Arabidopsis thaliana: one gene and its partners. The protein of the gene in region 4 interacts with the protein of the main gene of each other region in a pairwise test. Each region holds a gene or a part of one and is shown on either strand. Other genes may lie near its edges. The genes, in order: CAK1AT, ICK3, AT1G67580 and CYCD4;1.

The links.
Region 1: the proteins of CYCD4;1 (region 4) and CAK1AT interact in a protein complementation assay, tested with the Arabidopsis thaliana proteins (one large-scale study listed by BioGRID).
Region 2: the proteins of CYCD4;1 (region 4) and ICK3 interact in a protein complementation assay, tested with the Arabidopsis thaliana proteins (one large-scale study listed by BioGRID).
Region 3: the proteins of CYCD4;1 (region 4) and AT1G67580 interact in a protein complementation assay, tested with the Arabidopsis thaliana proteins (one large-scale study listed by BioGRID).

What each region holds. Positions count from the first base shown.
Region 1 is NC_003075.7:14,285,545-14,291,413, reverse strand, and holds CAK1AT (CDK-activating kinase 1AT), read right to left. Parts: upstream 3,018-5,869; 5' UTR 2,944-3,017; coding exon 2,443-2,943; intron 2,251-2,442; coding exon 1,312-2,250; 3' UTR 1,298-1,311; exon of another isoform or gene 976-1,297; 3' UTR 501-975; downstream 1-500. Other genes in the region: AT4G28990 (RNA-binding protein-like protein), read right to left, coding at 20-209. UniProt on the Arabidopsis thaliana protein: CDK-activating kinase that modulates CDKD-2 and CDKD-3 activities by phosphorylation of the T-loop. Activates CDKD-2 C-terminal domain (CTD) kinase activity. Activates CDKA-1 probably by phosphorylation.
Region 2 is NC_003074.8:9,058,931-9,063,156, reverse strand, and holds ICK3 (Cyclin-dependent kinase inhibitor family protein), read right to left. Parts: upstream 2,322-4,226; 5' UTR 2,168-2,321; coding exon 1,761-2,167; intron 1,662-1,760; coding exon 1,569-1,661; intron 1,485-1,568; coding exon 1,415-1,484; 3' UTR 1,154-1,414; downstream 1-1,153. Other genes in the region: AT3G24820 (BSD domain-containing protein), read left to right, coding at 1-75, 299-440. UniProt on the Arabidopsis thaliana protein: Inhibits CYCD2-1/CDKA-1 complex kinase activity without interaction with the complex.
Region 3 is NC_003070.9:25,326,579-25,334,070, reverse strand, and holds AT1G67580 (Protein kinase superfamily protein), read left to right. Parts: upstream 1-2,609; 5' UTR 2,610-3,105; coding exon 3,106-4,820; intron 4,821-5,353; coding exon 5,354-5,489; intron 5,490-5,575; coding exon 5,576-5,664; intron 5,665-5,856; coding exon 5,857-5,968; intron 5,969-6,061; coding exon 6,062-6,168; intron 6,169-6,244; coding exon 6,245-6,344; 3' UTR 6,345-6,789; downstream 6,790-7,492. Other genes in the region: AT1G67590 (Remorin family protein), read left to right, coding at 1-338, 432-513, 713-934; AT1G67570 (zinc finger CONSTANS-like protein (DUF3537)), read right to left, coding at 7,133-7,275, 7,360-7,492.
Region 4 is NC_003076.8:26,140,557-26,146,422, reverse strand, and holds CYCD4;1 (CYCLIN D4;1), read left to right. Parts: upstream 1-2,429; 5' UTR 2,430-2,672; coding exon 2,673-2,933; intron 2,934-3,080; coding exon 3,081-3,110; intron 3,111-3,239; coding exon 3,240-3,326; intron 3,327-3,428; coding exon 3,429-3,527; intron 3,528-3,618; coding exon 3,619-3,823; coding exon of another isoform or gene 3,824-3,897; intron 3,898-3,959; coding exon 3,960-4,087; coding exon of another isoform or gene 4,088-4,123; exon of another isoform or gene 4,124-4,310; coding exon of another isoform or gene 4,311-4,313; exon of another isoform or gene 4,314-4,684; coding exon 4,685-4,831; 3' UTR 4,832-4,953; downstream 4,954-5,866. UniProt on the Arabidopsis thaliana protein: May activate cell cycle in the root apical meristem (RAM) and promote embryonic root (radicle) protrusion.

The DNA of each region.
Region 1 (5,869 bases), on a different chromosome or scaffold from region 4:
GTTTAGAAGAGATACGAACCACCATTGTCACCCTTATACCGATCCGAGCGATTAAACGAAGGCCGGTCACGAGAGACTTCTCCGGGCTCATAGTCTCCGGCGGCGTTGCGGCCGTCTTCTCTGTCGTTGCTTCCGGAGGGACGTACGACGAGACTGCTGATGTGAGGCGGGTGATGTTGCGTCGTCTGCTCTTTTTCTGTCGACCCCATTTCTCTCCGATTGTCAAAACTCACTCCTGGAATTTCTCGATGTCCGTTTCAGAGAAAAAAAACCCTAGGGGAGACTTGGCGATAGATACTGGTAACTGTTATTAATTTATCTTTTGGTCTATCAACTTTTGTCTAATTTTCAATATTGCCCCTTAAGTTTTATATTTAGTATGTTGGACTAGTATGACTGATTCATGGAGTCAAATGTATTGTGGTTCTGGTTTTCTTCTTTTTATAGTAAACAACAGTTCACATTTCTGGAAGAATCAGATTCAGTTATGATTTTTGTGTGTGCTATTTTTGTTGTTTATGATATCAGTTTTGATTATGTAATTTGGGTAACTGAAAATAATTTATCTTAGCAAAAACTGGATGACATATAGGATAGGCTTTTATTCCATGGTCTCATTATTGAAGGGTTGCTACTACACATGTTGATAACTTGATATGAAAAGTTCAAAATTGATCAAAATATAGAAACAATTAAGAAATACAGATCCTAGAAAGCAAAACTCGAGTATATATAGATTTTGTTTCATTGTTACTTCAGATGAAAAATAGGGTAAAGAATGGCCTGGGCAACAAGAAAACTAGCTCTTCAGCTAATAGCTAAAGGCTAACACCGACTTTCCAATTGTAAATGTTACCATTTTCATACGAGGGAGGCAGAGAGAGAGGAACAACACACACACACACACAACACATTTTTGACAAAGTAGGCGAATTCAGGGGAAGTCGGGATGATCAAGATGCTCAACCATGGACTCTGCCAAGGAGAGATAAACACATAAAACTGAGATCGATGAGAGAAACAAAGCGCAAAAAAAAGTTGTGAGATCAATGAGCAAACGAATTTCAAAAGTTTTTGCCGCCATTGATACCTAAACAATGTCCTAACGAAAAGTTAACAATTTTCTAAGCGGTATTCTGTAACAAGATCTTCAAACAACAAAGAGTGTTGCATCAATCAAGACCTAAAGAAACACATGTCAGGTTTTGGTATATACCCATTCTCTTTGAAGAAGAAAGAGAGAGAGAGAAGAGACTGATTTATGTGTTTAAGCGAGCCAGAGCTTTTGACTGCGTACCTTAAATGCCAAGGTCAGGGGAATTCTATTGTAAATCCACTACTGGTAGGCTTTACATTCATGGGTCCAAAGCCATCAAAATCTGAATCTGAATCCATTTCTCTGTAATCATTCCACTTTCTCGGAGAATCCTCATCTGGTCCACTCATTGTCGGAGGCACATAGAGCTCTGAAACTGGAACTGGAAGAGGCTCTTCACTTAAATATTTGTCATTCAGCATCTCCATAGTAGTAGCTCTACTAGCTGGATCATAACAGATAAGCTTCTTGAGCAGCGATATCACATCCCCTGAATGGTTGGGAAGGCATCCTTCAATACCAAGAGGAGATTCTACTTTAGCAAATGAGATTGACTTGTAGTCTGGAAGATCAACACAACCAGGCCAGACCTCTTCATTTAAATTTCCCAGCACATTGGTCACTCTGCTGATCTGATCAATATCTGAAATTCCTGGGAACAAAGGCTCAAGAGACAAGAGTTCTGCAAACACACAACCAAGCGACCATAGATCGACCTCTAACCCATACATCGTAGATCCATAGAGCAGTTCTGGTGGCCTAAACCATCGGGTTCCCACACAAGATGTCATCAAACCCTGTGTATCATCCACTGCTTCGTCAGCATCGTAAGAAAACGAGTTCCTACCGAGATCATCATCCATTTCACTAACAGTGCACGTTGCAAGGCAAGATATGTCTCCATCATGCACATTCGAGTCCTTATCAGTATCATCTCTAACAACCTGTTTAGCCTTGAGCTCTTCCACCTGTCGGAAGTACTCGTCTTTACTCATCGCTTCCCGTTCCTGACCATCAGACCCTTGCCTAGGTGAGTTCTCATAATCAGGAATAACTTCTGGTGGTTCGCTGGTTTCTCCATCTTTGTCTTCCAGTTTGTAAGCTTGTTGGTTTTCATCTGAAGCTACAATATCATGCTCCATGAGTATCCTAGCCTGTATATGAACCAAGAAGCCAACACACATTTAGAAACTCATAGATTACACTAAATGATAAGGTCTAGCCACTTGATTACACTAACTCTTCCAAATTTCAAGCAAACCAAGCATTTTTCATTCAGAGGTTTCTCATATTTGTGCATCAAACAATGAAATAACTAACACAATCAGTAACAATCATAATCTCACCTGACCAAAATCAGCAAGCTTAAGAACTCCATCATCAGAAATCAACATATTCCCAGGCTTCAAATCTCTATGTACAATCAAATTCCGATGACAAGCATCAACACCGGTTAAAATCTGAATCATCCATCTCTTAATCTCCCCAACCGAGAATCCATCCCCTCCTTCTACCTTCTTCTTCCTCTTACCATCTCGGATCACCGCAGCGAGATCCGACCTAAGAAACTCAAGCACAAGCACAGCGTTCTCTTCCTCACGCCAGAAGTATTCGTGCATAACAACTACATTAGGAGATCCATTGAGGATGGTGAGCGCGTCAATCTCCCGGAACGCAGATTGGTAATCGAAAATCTCCTTGAGCGCGACGATTAGACCGTCGGAGAGACGGCGAGCTCTGTAAACGTCGGCGTAAGCTCCGGATCCGACTCGCTCGAAGATCTCGTACTTGGCGATTATCTCCGGCCGGGTATGGATACTCCAACTGGTCGCCGGTTGTTTATCCATCTCCTTTAAAACGGCGTCGCTTTTCTTCGGATCTTTCCTGATGATGGATGATTATTCACATAAACGCTAACGAATTCACCAGTTTAAAAATCCAGTTCCCATGTTGTAATGACTAAAATGCCCTCACAAGTTTTGGAGCGGACAAGAAACCAAACCGCAGGGGGGGACTTTTATCACTTATGCCACTTTTTTGAAAAAACTGATCTGGACTGCCATAAGTTAATCTGAATGCCACCGAAAATGTGATATACCAGTTGTACCCTTAATGAGTTGATTAAAAAAATGAAAAAGAAATTCAAAAGCTAAATAAAGAAAATCGAGTTCGGAGATTCTCCTCTTCGTCGTCGTGTTCTTCTTCTTTGGTCGACGTTCATCTTCTTCGTCGGCCACCATCGATTTCCTCATGCCGCCGACTTGAAATCCGGCGTAAAAGCCACGAATTAGGTCAGTTTCTTCTCATATTTCCTTTGACATTGGTGCATTGTGATTTTAGATTGGGATTTTGAATTCTATATAATTCCCAGCTCGATTCAATTTGATAGTTTGATGATTGGTTTGCAAAGTAAAGAGTAATCGATTAGAGGTTGCCGAAACGTTATTTGAGGTGATGAGCAAAGGAATGTAGGTTGAATGTGAGTTGAATTTGAATTCCGAGATTTCATATTAAAGATTTGGGGGGTTTGTGTTTGCAAAGTTTAGATTAACCAATTAGTTTAACGAATAGGTATGTATTAACATTGGAAATCAATTGAAAGGTAACGAATTAGGTTCAGTAGAGACGAGTGCGACGAGAGATTGATTTCAACGTATGATAAGAGTACATGTGGTATAACTATTAAAATGTTTGATTGGAGTTGAACTGGTTGTATTTTCAGGAGCGATGAAGAAGAAGATCCACACTAAGGTACATTTTGACTTTGGAGGATACTATTCTGAAGTGAATGAGTGGATTGGTAAAAATTCACTATATGTTATATCGTTTAAGACGAGTAGTTTGGAGAAGATTAGCTATTCGATGTTAGTTGACAAGATCATGAAGAAGGTTGCGATTGATGAAGCTTCTGTCAAGTTGAAACTGAGTTACAATCTGTCTAAAGTTAGGAGAGAGACATATATTGTAAATGATGAGGATGTCTTCATATTTTTAACAGAATCTGATGAAGAGAGTCGGATTCCTGTTTTGCATGTGGAGGAATTAAATGGTATAGGAGTTGAGAGGAGAGAGGAAATTTCTGTACCGGAGCGTCGAAGTTCAGTTGGTGTAAATGTAATAGAGGATGATGTTTTAAATGAAGTATGTGAGATGGTGCATGATGGATATGATAATGATGTGAATGATTGTGAGAATGTAGTAGGTACGGAGATCGTGGCTATCGAAAGGCCGATGGAAAGGCCGGTGAATTCTGTTGAGGAACAAGATGAGGATGATAGGATTGATTATGATGATATTCACGATATTCCACGAAGTGTAGAAGTTACTCCGCAGGTTATAGAATGGGATGATGGTACGGGTATTGAAATTGGTCAAGAATTTTGTTCAAGGGAGGCTGTGTGGGAATTGGTTAACAGAGCTGCAAAGAAAGAAGTTTTTGGAGTCTATACTATTAAGTCAGACCCGTTGAGACTTATGCTACGATGCCGCCAAGCTTCTAAAGGGTGTACTTGGTATCTAAGAGTTGCGAGAACTAAAAAATCTCATTTTTGGAGTGTTAGAGTGCATAGAAAGATGCATACATGCTCTCGGAGTGTTGAGACTACAAGCAACAGTATACAGCGAGGCACACCAAGATTAATAGCATCGGTTTTACATTGTGATTATCCCGGAAATTTAGAGACCCCAACTCCAAAAAACATTATGTCGATTGTAAGAGGAAGACTTGGGGTGCATTGTTCATACTCCACTGCCTTAAGAGGCAAAATGCTACATGTTAGTGATGTGCGAGGGACTCCGGAAAGAAGCTACACGATGTTATTTTCTTATCTTTACATGTTAGAGAAGGTAAATCCAGGGACAGTAACTTATGTGGAGTTGGAAGGAGAGAAAAAGTTCAAGTACCTCTTCATTGCATTAGGCGCTTGCATTGAAGGTTTTAGGGCAATGCGGAAAGTGATAGTTGTGGATGCAACTCATCTTAAAACTGTGTATGGTGGGATGTTGGTTATTGCAACAGCACAAGATCCTAATCATCATCATTATCCACTTGCGTTTGGAATCATTGATAGCGAGAAGGATGTAAGTTGGATTTGGTTCTTAGAAAAGCTGAAAACTGTATATTCGGATGTTCCCGGATTGGTCTTTATTAGTGATAGGCATCAAAGCATAAAGAAGGCTGTCAAGACGGTGTACCCGAATGCGCTTCATGCAGCTTGTATATGGCATTTGTGTCAAAACATGAGAGATCGTGTGACAATTGACAAGGATGGAGCTGCTGTCAAGTTCAGGGATTGTGCTCATGCATATACTGAGAGTGAGTTCGAGAAAGAGTTTGGTCATTTTACAAGTTTATGGCCTAAAGCTGCTGACTTTCTTGTGAAAGTAGGGTTTGAGAAATGGTCGAGGTGCCATTTTAAAGGAGACAAGTATAACATTGACACTAGTAATTCTGCGGAGTCCATTAATGGTGTGTTTAAAAAAGCGAGAAAATACCACTTGTTACCAATGATTGATGTGATGATTTCTAAGTTTTCTGAATGGTTCAACGAGCATAGGCAAGCTTCAGGTTCTTGTCCAATCACAGCACAAGTTGTGCCTACTGTGGAGAACATATTGCACATTAGATGTCAAGTTGCAGCCAAATTAACTGTGTTTGAGCTTAACAGTTACAACCAAGAATACAACGTGATTGATCTCAACTCGGTAAGTTTTCTGGTGGATTTGAAAATGAAAAGTTGTTCATGCAAATGTTTTGATATAGACAAGATCCCG
Region 2 (4,226 bases), on a different chromosome or scaffold from region 4:
GTTATGCCCGCGAGTTTTAAAGGAACATCAGTTTTGGAGGATATATTTCCAGCTTGTGAGGAAGATTGTGGCAAAGTAAGTACTTTCTTATGCCAAAAAATTTCGTTTGAGATGGTTCCATAACTCCAGGTGTAATGCCCTTAGTAGGTGTTAAATGCACCTTACTCTGTTGTTCTGTGTATGATTCCACTTTCATATAGAGATAGTGAGATGGGTTTTTAGCTTGTAACAAAGTGATGAATAAAGATCACGAGAAATATGAGTTTAACCATTGGTAGTTCATGGAAATTATTTGCAGATATGAGGTGCTAGCAATCCAACAGGCTCAAATCAGGAGGATGGCCATGGAAGACAGTAAAACTTCTGAAAGCAAGGGTGTATATGAAGTTGAAATGTCAGAAACAAAGCAAAGGTTGAGTACAGGACCTGCAACTCCGTGAAGCTTCGGTGGTAGAGTTGGGATGGAACATGACAGGTACTGTAATATTACAGACTACGTATTTACTTAATACAACTATTATCAACGAGAATGAAATCACTCTAAGCATCCTATGACTTGCTTTTGCAGTTTTGCTCACAAATTAACCAAACAAAAACGCTGAACCATCGGAGAAGCAGGGCTTGATCAGTAAATATTGTTCATGTGTTAAAAGGTGACAAAACCAAGAAGGTTTTGATTCTTCAGAGATGTAAATGATCATGTGAATTTAGTACTAGTATCAGACATAACACAGTGGTCTTAAACGCTTTGTACTAATAAGAATAGACATCATTATTTAATGTTTTGATTCATCCGATGAGCAAATGATCTAAAGAGGTGAAATATTTTACAGAAACCAAGAAACCTAATCTTTAGCATGAAAGGTGCTACTAACTTAGACTTTTGAAGAAATAATTCCAGAAAGCAAGACAGTGAGTGCAGTGCCAATAAAGAAGAGAGAGATGAAATCTAATCGAAGCATTTTACTGCAACCTGTATGACAGAGGAATTGGTACAAGTACCCACATGTGTGAAAAGCCCAATGAGATTAGAGTATCAAACTATCAATAAAGAAGATAGAGATAAAACCTGTGACTAAGGTTTTTGTTCAGACAAGTTCACTACTTTTGCTACTTGAATCCAAAGTATATGACTTGTAAAGTAACTCTAATGCAGAACCACAAAACTCAGACCTTCACTGAAGTAACCAAAGAACAATGAAGAGATTTACAATACTAATTTAAGTAACTTGACAGTTAAATTAGACATTTATTTGTAGCAAATGAGAGAGATTAACATTACATTATTCTTGACTAACAAGTTATACACCAACCCTAAAACCCCACAAAGTTAGTCTGTGTGCAATTTTCATCTCCTCTGTTCCAACACAGATGTTTCCTAAAGCACACAACTTTACATCGAACACAACTCATTTCATGGCATCACTTTGACCCATTCGTAACGTCCAGGCAATGGATTGTCCGAGACAATGTCAAAGTTGTACCTGCAAAACCATAACTCCCCCAAAGTCAGACCAAACTCTAAAAACTCAAGAGAATCAAGACACTAAAGAAAATGGGATTTGTACTTTTGAATGAAGAATCTCTGTTGTTGCTGTTCTGCGCTAGCAAAGAAGTCTTCAATCTCACTTTGTATTGATTTTGAATCACTTATCATGCTCCTATGAGAGAACCAACATATCAAAACTCAATCTCTGTATTGTAGTAAAAAAAAAAAGTTTGGAGCTTTAAAATGAAAAAAAAAACAGAGTTAAAGTTACCTGTTTTCTGATTCCAAATCAAAACCTTTATCTCCAAAATTACAATCAGACCTAGATATTCTCTCATTATCACCACAAGCTTCTTCCGTCGTCGTATCCGGCTCTAATTTCTTCGCCGGACCGGAACTAGCCCTAGGGTTTTTCGTTTGACATTGATTGACACTAGGAATGAGCTGTTGCTTCTGCTGTTTTCTGGTATTAGTGAGTAATGGAAGCTTCACGAGACGGCGGCTCCGGAGCTGGAGGTAGTTAAAGGAGTCTGCTTCGTCGGAATGAGAACGGAGACGGTGGAGGGCGAGGTTTTTAGCGGCGGCGGCTCTGGTACGGAAACCTAGAGCGGGTGGGTGAGATTTATCCTTAACGGAAACGGCACCGGCGACTTTTGACTTCTTAATGTATTTTCCCATCTCCGGGAAGGTGGTTTACTGAATCTCCGGTCGAGAGCGAAAGGAGGGAAGCAACGAAGGAGGAGGAAAAAAGTGATTTTTAATCTGAAAAAGTGAAAACTAAAAGGACAATGGAAATATTTATTTTAAAATCGAATCAAAAAACAAATTAGACAAATTTTTAAGGTGTCAAAGGCCCTCTCACCTGATTGTCATCATTTTCTTCGAAAAAAGATAAATCAAAATTTAATTAATTGGAATTTAATTTAATTTTTGTATTCTATCTGATTAAAACTTAAAAGTCTACTTTACAAAAGTAAATTATGAACAATATATGAGATATTTAAAGTATTAATTTGAGTTTGCTTGAGAAAAATATAGTTTAATACGCAAATTTTTAAAAAATATTCATTTAATACGTAAACTTTGAATATAATCATTTAATATATAGAAAAAAGTTATTTTACACTAAGTTAATGTTATCTAATTTTTTTACGTTGGTATAAATTTTGGCTGATAAACAATTAAGTTTGTGTAAAATAACCGGTCAATAATTTTTACATATATTAAATGTTTATATATAAAATTTACGTATTAAATAACAACTTTTTGATAATTCATGTAGTAAACGACATATTTCCGACTCTATATTTCACTTATATTATATAATTAATTCTTAGTTACTCCAAAATAACATAAAATAATAGTTCTCAAATGAAGAACATTTTTGGAAATATATATTCCAATTATTCTATACACTATATATATAGTATTTAAAGTTTATGAGTGGTTGGTGCAACAAATAATAAAAGGCTGCCGAAAGTAACAAGGTCTTTGAGAATAAAGATCATCAAGCTTATATTAATTGCTTTGGTAGACCATCCATGATTATAAAGCAATTGATATCGTGTGGAAATTTTTAGTTATTTTTGTTAAATAATGCAAAGATCGTTGTATGTGTCAAATTTGTTTTGGTTTAAGATAATAAGGCAGTTCATTTTTTGCATCCATTTTCATTGTTTCATAAAATTTGGTAGACAAGTCAACGTTAACTTTGTACAAACAATCCAAAACAAAAGCTAGCATTCAGATTTTCAAATGTCATGCAGGTTATTGGTTCAAAAGAAAAAAAGAGTCAACCATCTATTAAATTCTTCACATTTGACAAAAACGTACACATTAATTGTATACAGATACATTTGACTGTAAATTTTTTTTTTTTAAGTAAACAAGTGTCTTAAAATTAACATCATAGGGTTGATCACTTACCTAAGTATTTATTTTCTTTGGATTTATTAGCATTGGACATTTATATTGGTTGCTTCTAGTTTTATAGTTATGTAATCATCTCAACAACCGTTCTCTTTGTGATGTAATAGTTGAGATTATCTTTCATAAATTAGGCTTCAAAAGTTGACTTGTTGGTAAATTTGTCGAACAAATAAAGTTGGTCTGACTACATGCTTATACTCACGTCTAAATAGAAAAATTAATTTTCCTTTACATAAAATTTAGTTTATACTTTATAGTATCTGAAATGTAAATATATGACTCAATTTGGTTTTCTACATTTCTTTTGTGTAGCAAACACAGTCTTATTCTTTTTTGTTTCTTTGAAACAAGAATCGTGATGCGGCGACTAATTAATCTACTGTTACGTGATATACATTTATACATTAAATCAGACTTATATTTATTTATTTTTGTTAAAAGGCCTTCTTATATTAATATATATGTAACCCGTGAAACAACAACAAGGTGAGTACTGAGTAGAGGCTCCCAATGTCAATGCCCCGGTGCTTATTATTCTTAATCGAGAGGTTTATTATTATTGAAGAAGATGAATTACATTAAAAATCTCTAAATTTAAAGCTTGCGATAATTCATAATTCTCATGATTTTATCGAAGATGTCAAAGGGACATTCTCATGAATCATGATTTTATATGCTTCAAATCGTATGCATGACCAACACTGTGTACAATCTTTAGATATTTCTTTGTTCATCAGTTCATCCAAACACGAAAGATCACACTACTAGCCCATAATACTTTAAACCTGAACAAAACTTTATAACCGGT
Region 3 (7,492 bases), on a different chromosome or scaffold from region 4:
GAAAGTAGTATTAATCCAACGGCTGTGATTAGATCCGTTTGTGTGAGAGATATGGGGACTGAGATGACTCCTATTGGTAGTCAAGAGCCTTCTAGAACAGCTACACCGGTGCGAGCTACTACACCGGTTGGGAGGAGTCCTGTGACTTCACCGGTGAGGGCTTCACAACGTGGTGAGGCGGTGGGGGTTGTGATGGAGACGGTGACGGAGGTTAGGAGGGTAGAGAGTAATAATAGTGAGAAGGTTAATGGTTTTGTGGAGAGTAAGAAGGCTATGAGTGCTATGGAAGCTCGAGCCATGGCTTGGGATGAAGCAGAACGTGCTAAATTCATGGCTAGGTGATTAACGTTAATTGGTTAAATTTATGGTTGATTTTAATATGTGTTAATGTGATTCGTGTTTGAGAGTTTTTTTTTTTTGTGTGGAATTAGGTATAAGAGAGAGGAAGTGAAGATACAAGCTTGGGAGAATCACGAGAAGAGAAAGGCTGAGATGGAGATGAAGAAAATGGAGGTAAGATGTTCTGTCTAATTGTGGAAAGAGAGTTGTCAACACGTGTTCAATCCGAATTTCGGTTCAGTCTTTTTTTAGTTTTTTAAAAGACAAAGTAGTGTGGATTGGTTTGATATGGATTGGATCTATTAATTGTTAAAGAGAAAAATAACGTTATGGATTGAAAAGGTTTTAAAACAATGTGTGAACGTGTGTTTAGGTGAAGGCGGAGAGGATGAAAGCAAGGGCAGAGGAGAAGTTGGCCAACAAGCTAGCTGCGACGAAAAGGATAGCGGAAGAGAGGAGGGCGAATGCGGAGGCTAAGTTAAACGAAAAGGCGGTGAAGACATCGGAGAAAGCTGATTATATAAGGAGGAGTGGTCACTTGCCTTCTTCTTTTTCTTTCTCCTTTAAGCTTCCCTCTCGTTGTTGGTGTCAATAATTGTCTATTTTCATTAGAATGTAATCGTATGGATTTAGTGATATTCAATAACTAACGCAAAAAAAAAAAAAAAAGTTTTGTTTGGGGAAGTAGATAAAAGAAATTGAGCCAAGAACTCTCAAAGTTAATCAAGGTCCCACGAGTGGCCAACTATCCGCACTTTAATTGCTAACTTCACTTAAAACTATGTCGCTAACCTTTTAATTGACACAAACACATTTGGGGAAACTCATAATCTTTGATGTGACCGGTAAAGCAAAAGTTTTGGGCTTTTTACCAGATGTCTGATCTCGCATTTGGCCCGACCCCGCAATTTTGGGCTTCTAAGATAAGGTCAGGCCCGGCTTTAAGGCACAATGTAAGCCCAGCAGTTCAAAGGTTGATCCGACATTAATTTGGTAACGGAGGAATCTCAACTTAAATGATAAGCATTTACGATCCGAGCTGACGACTCGTAACGTGCGAAGTTAATGAGGCGAGATCCGCGGCGTGAAGTCAGCGAATCATTTAACTCGTTTGATTCGATGTATTTGTATAAATAAGAGTCAATTGACATTGTAAAAGGGGATACACATTGTACTGAAACTATACTGAAATACATAAATACTTTTCACTTGATCACTGTTCGTCTAACAAGATTTAAGACCTTCACGAAACAACCACAAAATTCTAATTGCGGATTACGACATCCACACAAATCAAATAAAGATAATCTCAGATATGATGGAATAGTACTAGTACTTGATAGTGATTTTGATTGTCAAATTTTGTAAAGAGCAAAAAAATTGAAGTCTAGAATGAAAGATGACTCATATGTTTCGACCAAGCTAGTCATGAACACAAACAAGAAGAGAAATGATTAGTTCGTGATTGAGAGATTATGAATATTCATAATGTTCTAAAACGGTTTATGTGGTCCCCTAAACATTATGCAGCCACAAACCGTGACAATCATTTTTTCGGACATTGAAATTAGACATTTTAGTTTTGACTGGCCTTCGGCAATATTAGGTACATAATTATCAAAGTTAACATGACTCCAAAAATTAACATATGTTTTTTGATTTAAATGATTTGATGGTAATATTAAGGTTTTCATGTCTTAGAGCAATTTTATTTGTGGTTTCTAGATATAAGTTTCTTAACATTAAAACAACAAAAATAATATTATCTAACTATGTGAGTTTCTTGAATAGTTAAGAAATTCTCTCCAAAATTTCCTATATAAGGTATTTTAGAGATGACTTTTTCACTAATCAAAAAGCCCACACATTCTTTTATAATAAATTTTCTTTCTTTAAAATAAAAGACTTATGTTTAGAAATCATCAATGAGATTGTTCTTATGTTCCAAGTGCTCCAACATCGACTTTCAAGATAATAGTCTTTGTGGTTAAGATGACAATAATTCGATTAATTTTGGGTGTGAGTCGTGTGACTATCCCACGAAAATAAAATTGTTTTGCCAATTTGATGGTAAAATCTCACGATAAAAACTCAAACAATAACAGCCTACCAAAAAAAAAACTCAAGACCATAACATGTTAAATTTAAATAAATAAATATATTTTTGGTTTCAATAATATTGTCGTAGAAGTTTTAAAATATTTTAGAGATAAAAATAAAAAGAAACACATTGATTAATTACAAAAGTTAGGGGCTCCTTATACCTTTTTTTTTTTCATCAAGGGGCTCCTTATACTAAAACAATAAAATAGAGGGGGCGAATACAAAAACACGATTTTAGAGACCTAAAGCTTTGAGCTTTCGACGAGAAACTTTCTTCTCTCTCTCTCTCTCCGCCATTGTTCGTTCCCTCTCCACGGTAATCTATATCCACCCGTCGTCAATCGGAACTTTACGAACTCCTTATCAATCGTATTTTCACTTTCCAATTCTGAGTTCTCTTCTCGTTTCGTCCTCTCTTCCTCCGTATCCACGGGTCTCGCTTTCGGTTTCTAGGGTTTCGCGGTTCTGATCACAAGTTCTGCTTCAATTGTAAGCGATTTGATCGCAAGTAGCTGTTAAATCGGTGCGTAATTCAACTTTTGAAATCTCAAGGTTTAGTCTCTGCAATTCTGATTTTGAACACAGCTAGCTAGTAGCAGATTTAAGAGTTCGTCAAATTAGGATTTTGGGTTTGTTTGGGTCCCTTTCTCACCGAAGTTCTGTATGGCGGCTGGGAGGAATATAAGATATCCAGACCATGAACTGAGAGACCAGGAATCGAATTCTAGATTTTCCAGGCGGGATAGTGCTTATGCGAACGAGGATTATAATCATGTTAGGAACGGTGCTATTGATAATGGAAAGGGACGGGTTAGTAATCTAAGACACGGGGATAGAGATAGAATTAAGTCTGGAGCTAGACAGGAAGAGAACAAAATGGTTAGTAGTGGGTTTCGGTTATCGAAGAGCAATCCAGGTAGTAGAGAAGTATTTATCGATCTTGGTCCTAAAAGATGCGGGTTTTCAGCTAGGTCTGTGGACAGGGAACCAGGCGAGCTCTCTAGTGAGAGTGGGTCGGATGATTTGATTGAGTCGGAATCACTGGCGAAAGTTAATGGAGTTGTGAAGGAGGTAGAGAATAGAGCTCAAAGTCCTGTGGAAAAGAAGAGAAAGTTTTCACCAATAGTATGGGATAGGGATGACCATGAGAGAAGTAATTTGAGCAGAAATGAAAAACCTGTGGAGGTCACTCCTCTTCCTCCCCCACCACCACTAGTTAAGAGGTCAAGCCAGTCACCTAGTGTCAGTTGTGGTGGTAATTCTCATTATTCACCTGCAAAGAGTGACATGCATCAAGATCCTGTGGAAGTTGGTGTTTCTGCGGTTTCTATGCCTGCTTTGTCACCTTCGGTAGAGATGTCCTCTTTGTGTGTGGTAGAACAGTCATCAAATGCTGAGCAGGATGACAAACAAGAGCATGCAACACACCTGGAAGAGGATGAAAACATGCCAACACGGCATATATCATCCTCTAGGTGGGCTGCTGGTAATAGTTCTCCAACTGATGAAGTTGAAATAGTAGAAGAAGTTGGGGAAAAGAAAAGGAGGAAGAAACCATTTCCCGTGCAGGGGAGATTTCGCAATACCTCTCAAACACCTGAGGTCGGGGAGTTAGTGAGGGAAGGTTATAGATCATCTGATTCCGATGAAAGGGGGCACCATTCTTTACCGGGAAGCAGAGATGATTTTGAGGAGAGAGATGCTGTTAAGAGTGACAAGATGGAAATAGATGAGGAGGAACACAGAAGAGAAAACTCTGTTGACAGCCTTAGTGAAACAGATTCAGATGACGAATATGTACGGCATGAGACACCTGAACCTGCCAGTACTCCACTGAGAAGTATAAACATGCTCCAGGGTTGTAGAAGTGTTGATGAATTTGAGAGGTTAAATAAGATCGATGAAGGTACTTATGGTGTTGTTTATAGAGCAAAGGATAAGAAGACAGGCGAAATTGTGGCATTGAAGAAGGTGAAGATGGAAAAAGAAAGAGAAGGTTTTCCATTGACTTCTCTTAGGGAAATTAACATCCTCCTTTCTTTTCATCATCCATCAATAGTGGATGTTAAAGAGGTGGTCGTGGGTAGCAGCCTTGATAGCATATTCATGGTGATGGAATACATGGAACATGATCTTAAAGCATTGATGGAGACAATGAAGCAGCGTTTTAGTCAAAGTGAAGTTAAGTGCTTAATGCTTCAACTTTTAGAGGGCGTCAAGTATCTTCACGACAACTGGGTGCTTCATCGAGATTTGAAAACATCTAACCTGCTTTTAAACAATCGGGGTGAGTTGAAGATATGTGACTTTGGTTTGGCTCGGCAATATGGCAGCCCGCTCAAGCCTTATACTCATCTGGTTGTTACGCTTTGGTACAGGTAAAGTGCGTTTTTACCCTATTCTTGTTTATAAAAAAATTAAGTGGTGTTTACATTTACGATTGTTATTTGAATTCTGGTGGACTTTCTTGTTTTTTTTTGGCCATTGTTAGTATAACATTAGGTGCCACGTCTCCTTTCTGGTATAGCTGTACTACACCGTACTCCCTTTTCTATTTCTGCACATTAGGATCAATGATTTTAAAGTCCTGTTTTTAAATGGTGTTCCAAGGTATCTGATATTTGTTCCAATGGCACCACAAACTTGAGTTTTGTGACTGCCTTGGATCCTTATCTTTCCTCTTTGAGAATAGTCTTCATAATATGCCAGCTTAGCCATTAAATACTTAACACTTTTGCGGTATTTGCTTGGACACCACGTACCATGAACCAACGTAATCTGGGCACATTAGGAAATATACGTGCTTCAACTTCCTTGACTTGTTTTGTTCCTTGTGTTGACTCTCCCTTCTTGTTTTAGCAATAATCACTTCCTCCGGGACCAAGCCCAACGACTGCATTTGTTTTTCCAGGGCACCTGAACTTCTCTTGGGAGCAAAACAATATTCTACAGCCATTGACATGTGGTCACTGGGCTGTATCATGGCAGAACTATTAATGAAGGCGCCATTGTTCAATGGGAAAACGGAGTTTGATCAACTTGACAAGGTATTTTAAACATCGGTTTTGATTTGGATCTCCAGCCATCCTGGGACCACATACAGCTTATAAATTACTCCTTCTTTAATTTACAGATTTTCAGAATCCTTGGTACTCCCAATGAATCTATTTGGCCTGGGTTCTCTAAACTACCTGGAGTCAAGGTCAACTTTGTCAAGCATCAGTAAGTATTTATAGTTCCTTTTATTTTCAGTTTATATGGAAGGATAACCTTAGTATATGCTTAAAGTCTCTAATATTGTTCCCAGGCTTTCTAGCTTTAGATGATGTGGTGTGGCTCTCTGACTCATTAGTGGATTTATATTGTTTTCATAGTTGTTATGTCACTCTTCTCACCGCTTACCTGTACTTTTAGGTATAACCTATTACGTAAGAAATTCCCAGCCACTTCGTTCACTGGTGCACCAGTTCTGTCCGATGCTGGGTTTGACTTACTGAACAAGCTCCTAACGTACGATCCTGAAAGGGTAATAGAAAATATATATCTGTTGCATGCATGTTAATCCAGTATGCACCTTAATTGTTCCTTGACTTTTGGATCTCTGTGGCTTCTTCTGCAGAGAATAACTGTTAATGAAGCTCTAAAGCATGATTGGTTCCGCGAAGTCCCTCTGCCAAAATCCAAAGATTTCATGCCTACTTTTCCTGCTCAACATGCCCAAGACAGGTACTGAGGTCTATCTAAACTGAAACGATCAGTGGTTGACTTTAATTCTGTCTCTTACTTTTTCTTCTATGCCTAGGCGTGGGAGGAGAATGGTAAAGAGCCCTGATCCTTTGGAAGAGCAACGTAGGAAGGAATTAACGCAAACCGAACTTGGGTCTGGCGGTCTGTTTGGCTGAAGTACAGCACACCGGTCGAAGATAGCAGTTGGAATACAACCTTGATATTCTCAAATACCTTGGAATTACCACATTTTAGGCGAGGGCTGCTGCTTAAGCGGAGGTTGGAATATTTGTATCTCAGAATATCATTCATGCTTTCTTTATTCACTTTGAGGGTCCGTGGTGATTTGTGAAGATGATTTTCCTCCTTTCGCCACTGAGAATCCTTGCAGGTTTAATGTGTTCACAAGCTAGGCTGGCCAGTTAGTGCTATGGCTTTCTGACAGTGCTTGTTTTGTAAGACAATCTCCAATGTATAGCTCTATATCTTACTCTAAAATAGAGTTGCTTTCTCTCCAATGTATATTTCTATTTTCTAGTCTAAAAAAGAATATTTTTAGAAATATTCTATTTCTATTTATATACTAATACCTTTTAATTATATAATTTACAATTTACTCCATATGTTATAAATTTGCAAATTGCCATAAAATATGATATTATTTATAAAAAATCCAAATGTTCGGACATATTTTGAGAGTGAACAAGTATGGATTTTACAAAAACGACGAGTCCAACAACAGGATCAAGATCAAGAAACTCCTCCTCCATCTAGTACAATATAGCTTTGTACACTCTTCACGTAACCAAGTTAAGAGAGGCTCGCGGGAAAAAAAAAAAAAAAAAAAGTTAAGAGACGCTCATGTAAGTATATCTTCTCCTATCAATTGAAGAATCTCACTATATGGCAGAAGGTAAAAAAGCTATGCAATAATGCATGATACACCAACCCTTTTTTTTTTTGGTCATTCAGTACCGAAAACTACAGTCTTGCCGAGTACAAAAGTAACTAGAGAGAGCTCAATGAAGAATATTGTGTTTATCAAATGCCTGTCTACTGTCCACCCGAATATCGTTATCCCGCCTGGATTCATCTGCAAATACAACACTGCAACATATCATCTAATTAGCTATCATCATATCTGAGTTTAGCTGTAAAGGTACAAGTAAAAAAGGGCGAAACAAATCTCACCGAAAGCTTGTCGTTTGTGATATGAGGACATGGACATATAAGAAGGAAACTGGTTAGTAACAGGCATCCTCATGTAGTGATCCATTGATTCCACATCACTATCTGAACGGGAAATCGGAAAGGAGATGGGCGG
Region 4 (5,866 bases):
AAATCTGCATATTTTGACAATTAGAATATGTAATATATAAATTGTGGATATAAAATCAGTTTTTCGGGTTTGAAATTTGGATTTAGATTTGATTTGGATTTGATCGGGGTTTGAAACCCTAAAACTGATGATCACCTAAATCGTTTTAGACTTCACTAATTAGTTAGATTTATTTTAAATTCTTTACAGGTCGGACCAAACCGATGGATTCAGCCGACGTTTTCATTATAATTTTTTTAAAAAACATCTAACTTCGGATTTGAACCATCAGGCCATGTGACTCGAGCAAAGTGTTTGTTAAGTTGACATAGGCGTGCATAAAACACGAATTATATATTCACTATACCAAAAAAAAAAGTTATATAGAGAGAGGCAGAAACTTACAAGTTAGAATCTCAGAACACACAAAGAGTAGCAAAACATCAAAAGTGTACTTGGACCACTTTTGTCTGGCATTTCACATTTGCATGCATGAAAGATAATAAAAATCTATAAATAGTTGAGCCTTTTAAGTTTAATTCGGAAAAAAAAACGCTTCATTCTTTTTTTTGCTTTAACTTAAACTTTTGTTTCTTCTCACCGCTCGAAAAGATAATCAAATTTAAAGACAGTAAAAACATCAAAGTTTATTAGCTGACACGTGATTGTCACAATCACGTTATTACTATACTTACTACTACACTACCAACAAAATAAAAGAGCACCTTGGTAAAATGATATAATACATTTCTTTTATATCTTATAAAATTCTACAAACCGAAAGATCAAACATGCTCGCGGTCGTATAGTTTTTTTTTTTTTTAATTTATGTTAAAGGGTTTTTTGCGGTCGTATAGTTGTAGACTTGTTTCTACTTTACAATTTCAAAAAGCTGTGTGTTTTGGTGCGCATCGGTGATTTCTAAAACTTAGTTGGATAAGAATATATTGTATGAACAGGAGTTTATCTTTACAATTTTTTAAGACTCCGACTGATAATGAAGAAACGAGAAAATATGAAAATTGTAAGAATAACAGATATAATATAGAATGAAATTTGATTTTTGAAAGTAAGATAATCGTTTTCAAGGAAAAATTTTCTTTATTATTGCAATGAATTTTGTGTAATTCATTTGCTTCCTACAAAATACGACTTTGTTAACTAAAATGACAATGAGCTAATGTTTGATGTTTCATTCCATAACATGACTATATAGTAGTTGAAAGTTGAAACCAGTGGCTCGATGACTATTTGCCATGTAACCTCAAGCAAGAAATTCTCGTGTGGTGTTTTCAAGCAACTCGTCGCGTAGCTAGCTTTATTTTCATGTGGTAGAAAATTACTAATTACTATTTATAAATAAAAAATACTAATCTCCTTACAAATATACTAATGTAGAATCTTTGGAGGTGATAGAGCACTAGTTATTGACCTCAACTTGCAAGAGAACAAAAATAAATACTTTTATAAATATTAAAAACCTTATAGTTAAATCTTATAAGTTGGGTAAAACAGAAGACAGTATATTTGGGTAAACTAAAACCATATTAAAGAAAGACCATAATGTGTAAAAAACAAAGACCATATTGTGTAACAAACAGAGACCATATTTTGAACTTAAATGAGTATATGACGTAGTTCTTATACAAATATACAGTCTGCTTTTTCATTCAAAGGTATATGCAATGATGATAGATATTGAAATTATTGTGTCTAAAAGTGACCCTAGAATCAAAAAACAGTGGTCAAAGATCTACCAGAGCAAATGGTTCAAATATCATTATAGATGGATTTTGAGTCAAATTTTACATTCAAAACTTCTTTTTATTTGTGGCATGAATTTACATTAGTTTTTTTGGGGTCATTTTTATTTTGTTCAATGTCGGATATTGAAAATAAAATATCATGATTCAGCGTATATTTCGATCATAATATCAAATTGCATTATTTAGTCAAACAATTTTGTTAAAAAATATTTCCTAAGATTTATAGAATTCAATACTGTTTTAAACTATTAGTCAAACTATATATATTTTACTGTTATTAAAACAAGGAATAAAATTATGAAATATCAAAAAATATGTAAAGACATATACTATGATTAAATCTTTCAACATTCAATATTTTACCATTGAATATACAAAAATGTTAACTGTTAACTATGCATACAAGACCGAAATACAAATTCCAAAAAACTTATGGCGCAAATCTGATACCGAACTACCAACGATATTCACTCGATTCATCATCTAAAAACTAAAATACAACGAATAAAACCAACTAACTTTTCAATTCTCACCTCAATTTCCTACCACATTTTCATAATTTTCCAACTTCTCACATTTGTTACCATGATAGTCAATTCACTTTCTAAAATCTTCAAATTTTATCTTACATTTTTCATCTTCTTCACCATTATATATAGCCTCTCTCCTTCTCACACAATCTCCATCTTACCCTAAAAACCACATTTCTTAACTTCCTCAATAAAAAAAAGAAAAGCTTCACCCTTTAATTTTACCCTCAACCCCAAAACAAAAACCCCTTCCTCCACGAGGGCATACAGAAATATCAAAGACCCAATCTTTCTTTCACTTCCCCAATCTCTAGATGACAATCTAACGATACAGTTCCTTTTAGATCGATTACCAAATACAAAGGATCAATTTTTCTTACATGAACACTCTGTTGTAATGGCAGAGGAGAATCTAGAACTGAGTCTTTTATGTACAGAGAGCAACGTTGATGATGAGGGCATGATTGTTGACGAAACTCCGATTGAAATTTCGATTCCTCAGATGGGTTTTTCTCAATCGGAGAGTGAGGAGATTATCATGGAGATGGTGGAGAAGGAGAAGCAGCATTTGCCAAGTGATGATTACATCAAGAGACTTAGAAGTGGAGATTTGGATTTGAATGTTGGAAGAAGAGATGCCCTCAATTGGATTTGGAAGGTCTGATTCTCTATTTGATTTTGATTTCTGGTTTTGAAATTTGGATGTTGATTGGTTTTGAATGATCTGTATAAGCTCAAATTGTGAAAAGCACAATCCTTTTGATGAATGATCTGAACATAAAGAGTGTGTTGCTATGTCTATTAGATCAGAGGCTTATGCAGAACAGATAGAGAGGTTTTGTCTTAAATCTGTAAATCTGATGCTCAATTTCCGATCTTTCACACTTCAATTGACAATAGATTCACTTCAGTCTCAGAGTTTTAGATCTCTAATTGATCTTTTCTTCTGTTCTGATTACAACAGGCTTGTGAAGTACACCAGTTTGGACCATTGTGTTTTTGCTTAGCAATGAACTACTTGGATCGATTCTTATCGGTTCATGATTTGCCTGTAAGTTCACATTGGTTAAACTAAAAGATTGATAATGTTTTTAGCCATTCATCATCAAAAAGTCTCATTTTTTCGCTTCTTGATTTGTGATTCTTCTTGTAGAGTGGCAAAGGTTGGATATTGCAGTTGTTGGCTGTGGCTTGTTTATCATTGGCAGCCAAAATTGAAGAAACTGAAGTTCCAATGTTGATAGATCTTCAGGTTCTCCTCTAAACTCGTTAAATTGTCGAGATGTTCTATTCGACCCGACAATGTCTTGAATCGATTGCGGTTTGATCACATTTCGGAACAGGTTGGAGATCCTCAGTTTGTGTTTGAGGCTAAATCAGTCCAAAGAATGGAGCTTTTGGTGTTGAACAAATTGAAATGGAGATTGAGAGCAATAACTCCATGCTCATACATAAGATATTTCCTGAGAAAGATGAGTAAATGTGATCAAGAACCATCCAACACATTGATATCTAGATCATTACAAGTGATAGCCAGCACAACCAAAGGTGAAAAAAAAAGTCTTTCCTTTATGTTTTATTTTCTTGACCACTTTTGTTTTTGTGCTTTTTTGGGTTTTGTTGTTTTTTTCACTTTTGCTTTTTATGATTTTGGATTAAAATGGTGGTTGTGTCGAGTGAGCAGGTATTGACTTTTTGGAGTTTAGACCTTCTGAAGTTGCTGCTGCTGTGGCACTTTCTGTTTCTGGAGAATTGCAGAGAGTACACTTTGACAACTCTTCCTTCTCTCCTCTTTTCTCACTACTTCAAAAGGTAAAAAACAATCCACCAAACATCTCAAACTCATAAATCTATTGTTTTTTAATACCAAACACACACACACATATAAAGCAGCCTTTGGTGGTTCAATTTCAAGGAAATGCCAGTTGTGGAGAAGTTTGAACTCATTAAAGATGACACATTTATGTGTATATATGTGTGTGCACTAACTTATTCATTGCATACACATAATATGTGTAATTATAAATCCAAAAAGTAAAAAAAAAAAAAAAAAAAAAAAGAGAAACCGGTTAATGGGTCTGAATCCTTTGACTTCCAAAACTAGTGGAGAGTAGACCAAAGACCACTTTAAATTATATTATTCTCTAGCTATGTGTCTTGTGACTCTCTCTGTCACACACACACATTCACTGCACAGCCTCTAGTCACATCTAAAACCAATCTGCCCCCACAAAAACATGTTTGATTCTGATTTGATCTTGCAATCCAAAACATCAGCCTGGTTTCCATTAGTTGTTTTTCTACACCAGAAAAAGCTGAAGAGATCTTTGTGTGTTGTGTTTGTGTTTGTGTTCAAGAGACAAAAACAAAAGTGTCAAGCTTTAAACTTTGTGGTTCCTTTTATTGCAGGAGAGAGTGAAGAAGATAGGGGAAATGATAGAGAGTGATGGCTCAGACTTATGTTCACAAACACCCAATGGGGTTTTAGAAGTATCGGCTTGTTGTTTCAGCTTTAAGACCCATGATTCTTCTTCTTCTTATACACATCTTTCTTAAAAAAAAAACTGTTTTTTTCTTACATTATTATAATCAGTATGATGTCTGATGAGAGGTTGAAAAAAGAGGACAATAAATCAAAGCAAAAATTTTTAAATAAATAAAAGTGTATTAATTTCAATATTTGATTTGTTTATAGCTTTGGTAATACTGAACAAATAAAATTATAAGAATTTTTTGTTGGCAGGAAATAGCAAAAAAGAGAAAGAAAATAAAACAAAGGAAAAACAGAGCTTTTTTTAATTGGTTCCCGCCAAATAAATATAGCGGGAAAAAACCGTATCGGTTCTGTTGAGCGTTAGAGTTGACCTTTTTTAATTCAAACGGTGCCGTTGTGAGATAAAGCGCGCATCGCACTAATGGGCTTAGAATTGGGCCCACGAACAGAAGTCTTTGACTTAAAGTTGACGTAAAGAGACCAAAGCTAGGTTGTGCTTTATGGAGCTTTTGCGTTTTATACCTTTTATCAACAAAACTCCAAAATCCCAATATTTTATTGAAAACTTTTTAACAAAAAATAAATAAAATGATTGGACTCCAGGTCCACTAAACCTCTAGGATCTGTAACTATGAAGAAAATGGGCCAATGCTATATTCATTAAATTTAATCATTTGGGTCTACCATTGTCGCATGGCATACTAGCAATTTGATGATCCTGAAATAAAATAATTGTGCGTGGAGATAATTTATGAAGATTTCCCCTTTTTGTATCATTTTTTAAATAGACATTTTTAATCTGAAAAGGTTAAAAAAAAGTCTCTATACATCATTAAACAAGTCGGTCTAATCTTGTGAAATAGTTGTGTAAGAAAAAAACTTAAATTATGTATTAACAAATGCTAGTTGGTATATATTTTCTTTAAAATAATTACAATTTTAACTCATAACATTTGTTGTATTCAGTTATTTTCTATATGTCTCAATAATCAATAAAATAAATAATGTTAGTAATAACCATCATGTAATTGGTGAATGTGAAAGATCATCTGTCATTGAAAACTTTGTGAATATGATTTTATCACTGCATATACTAG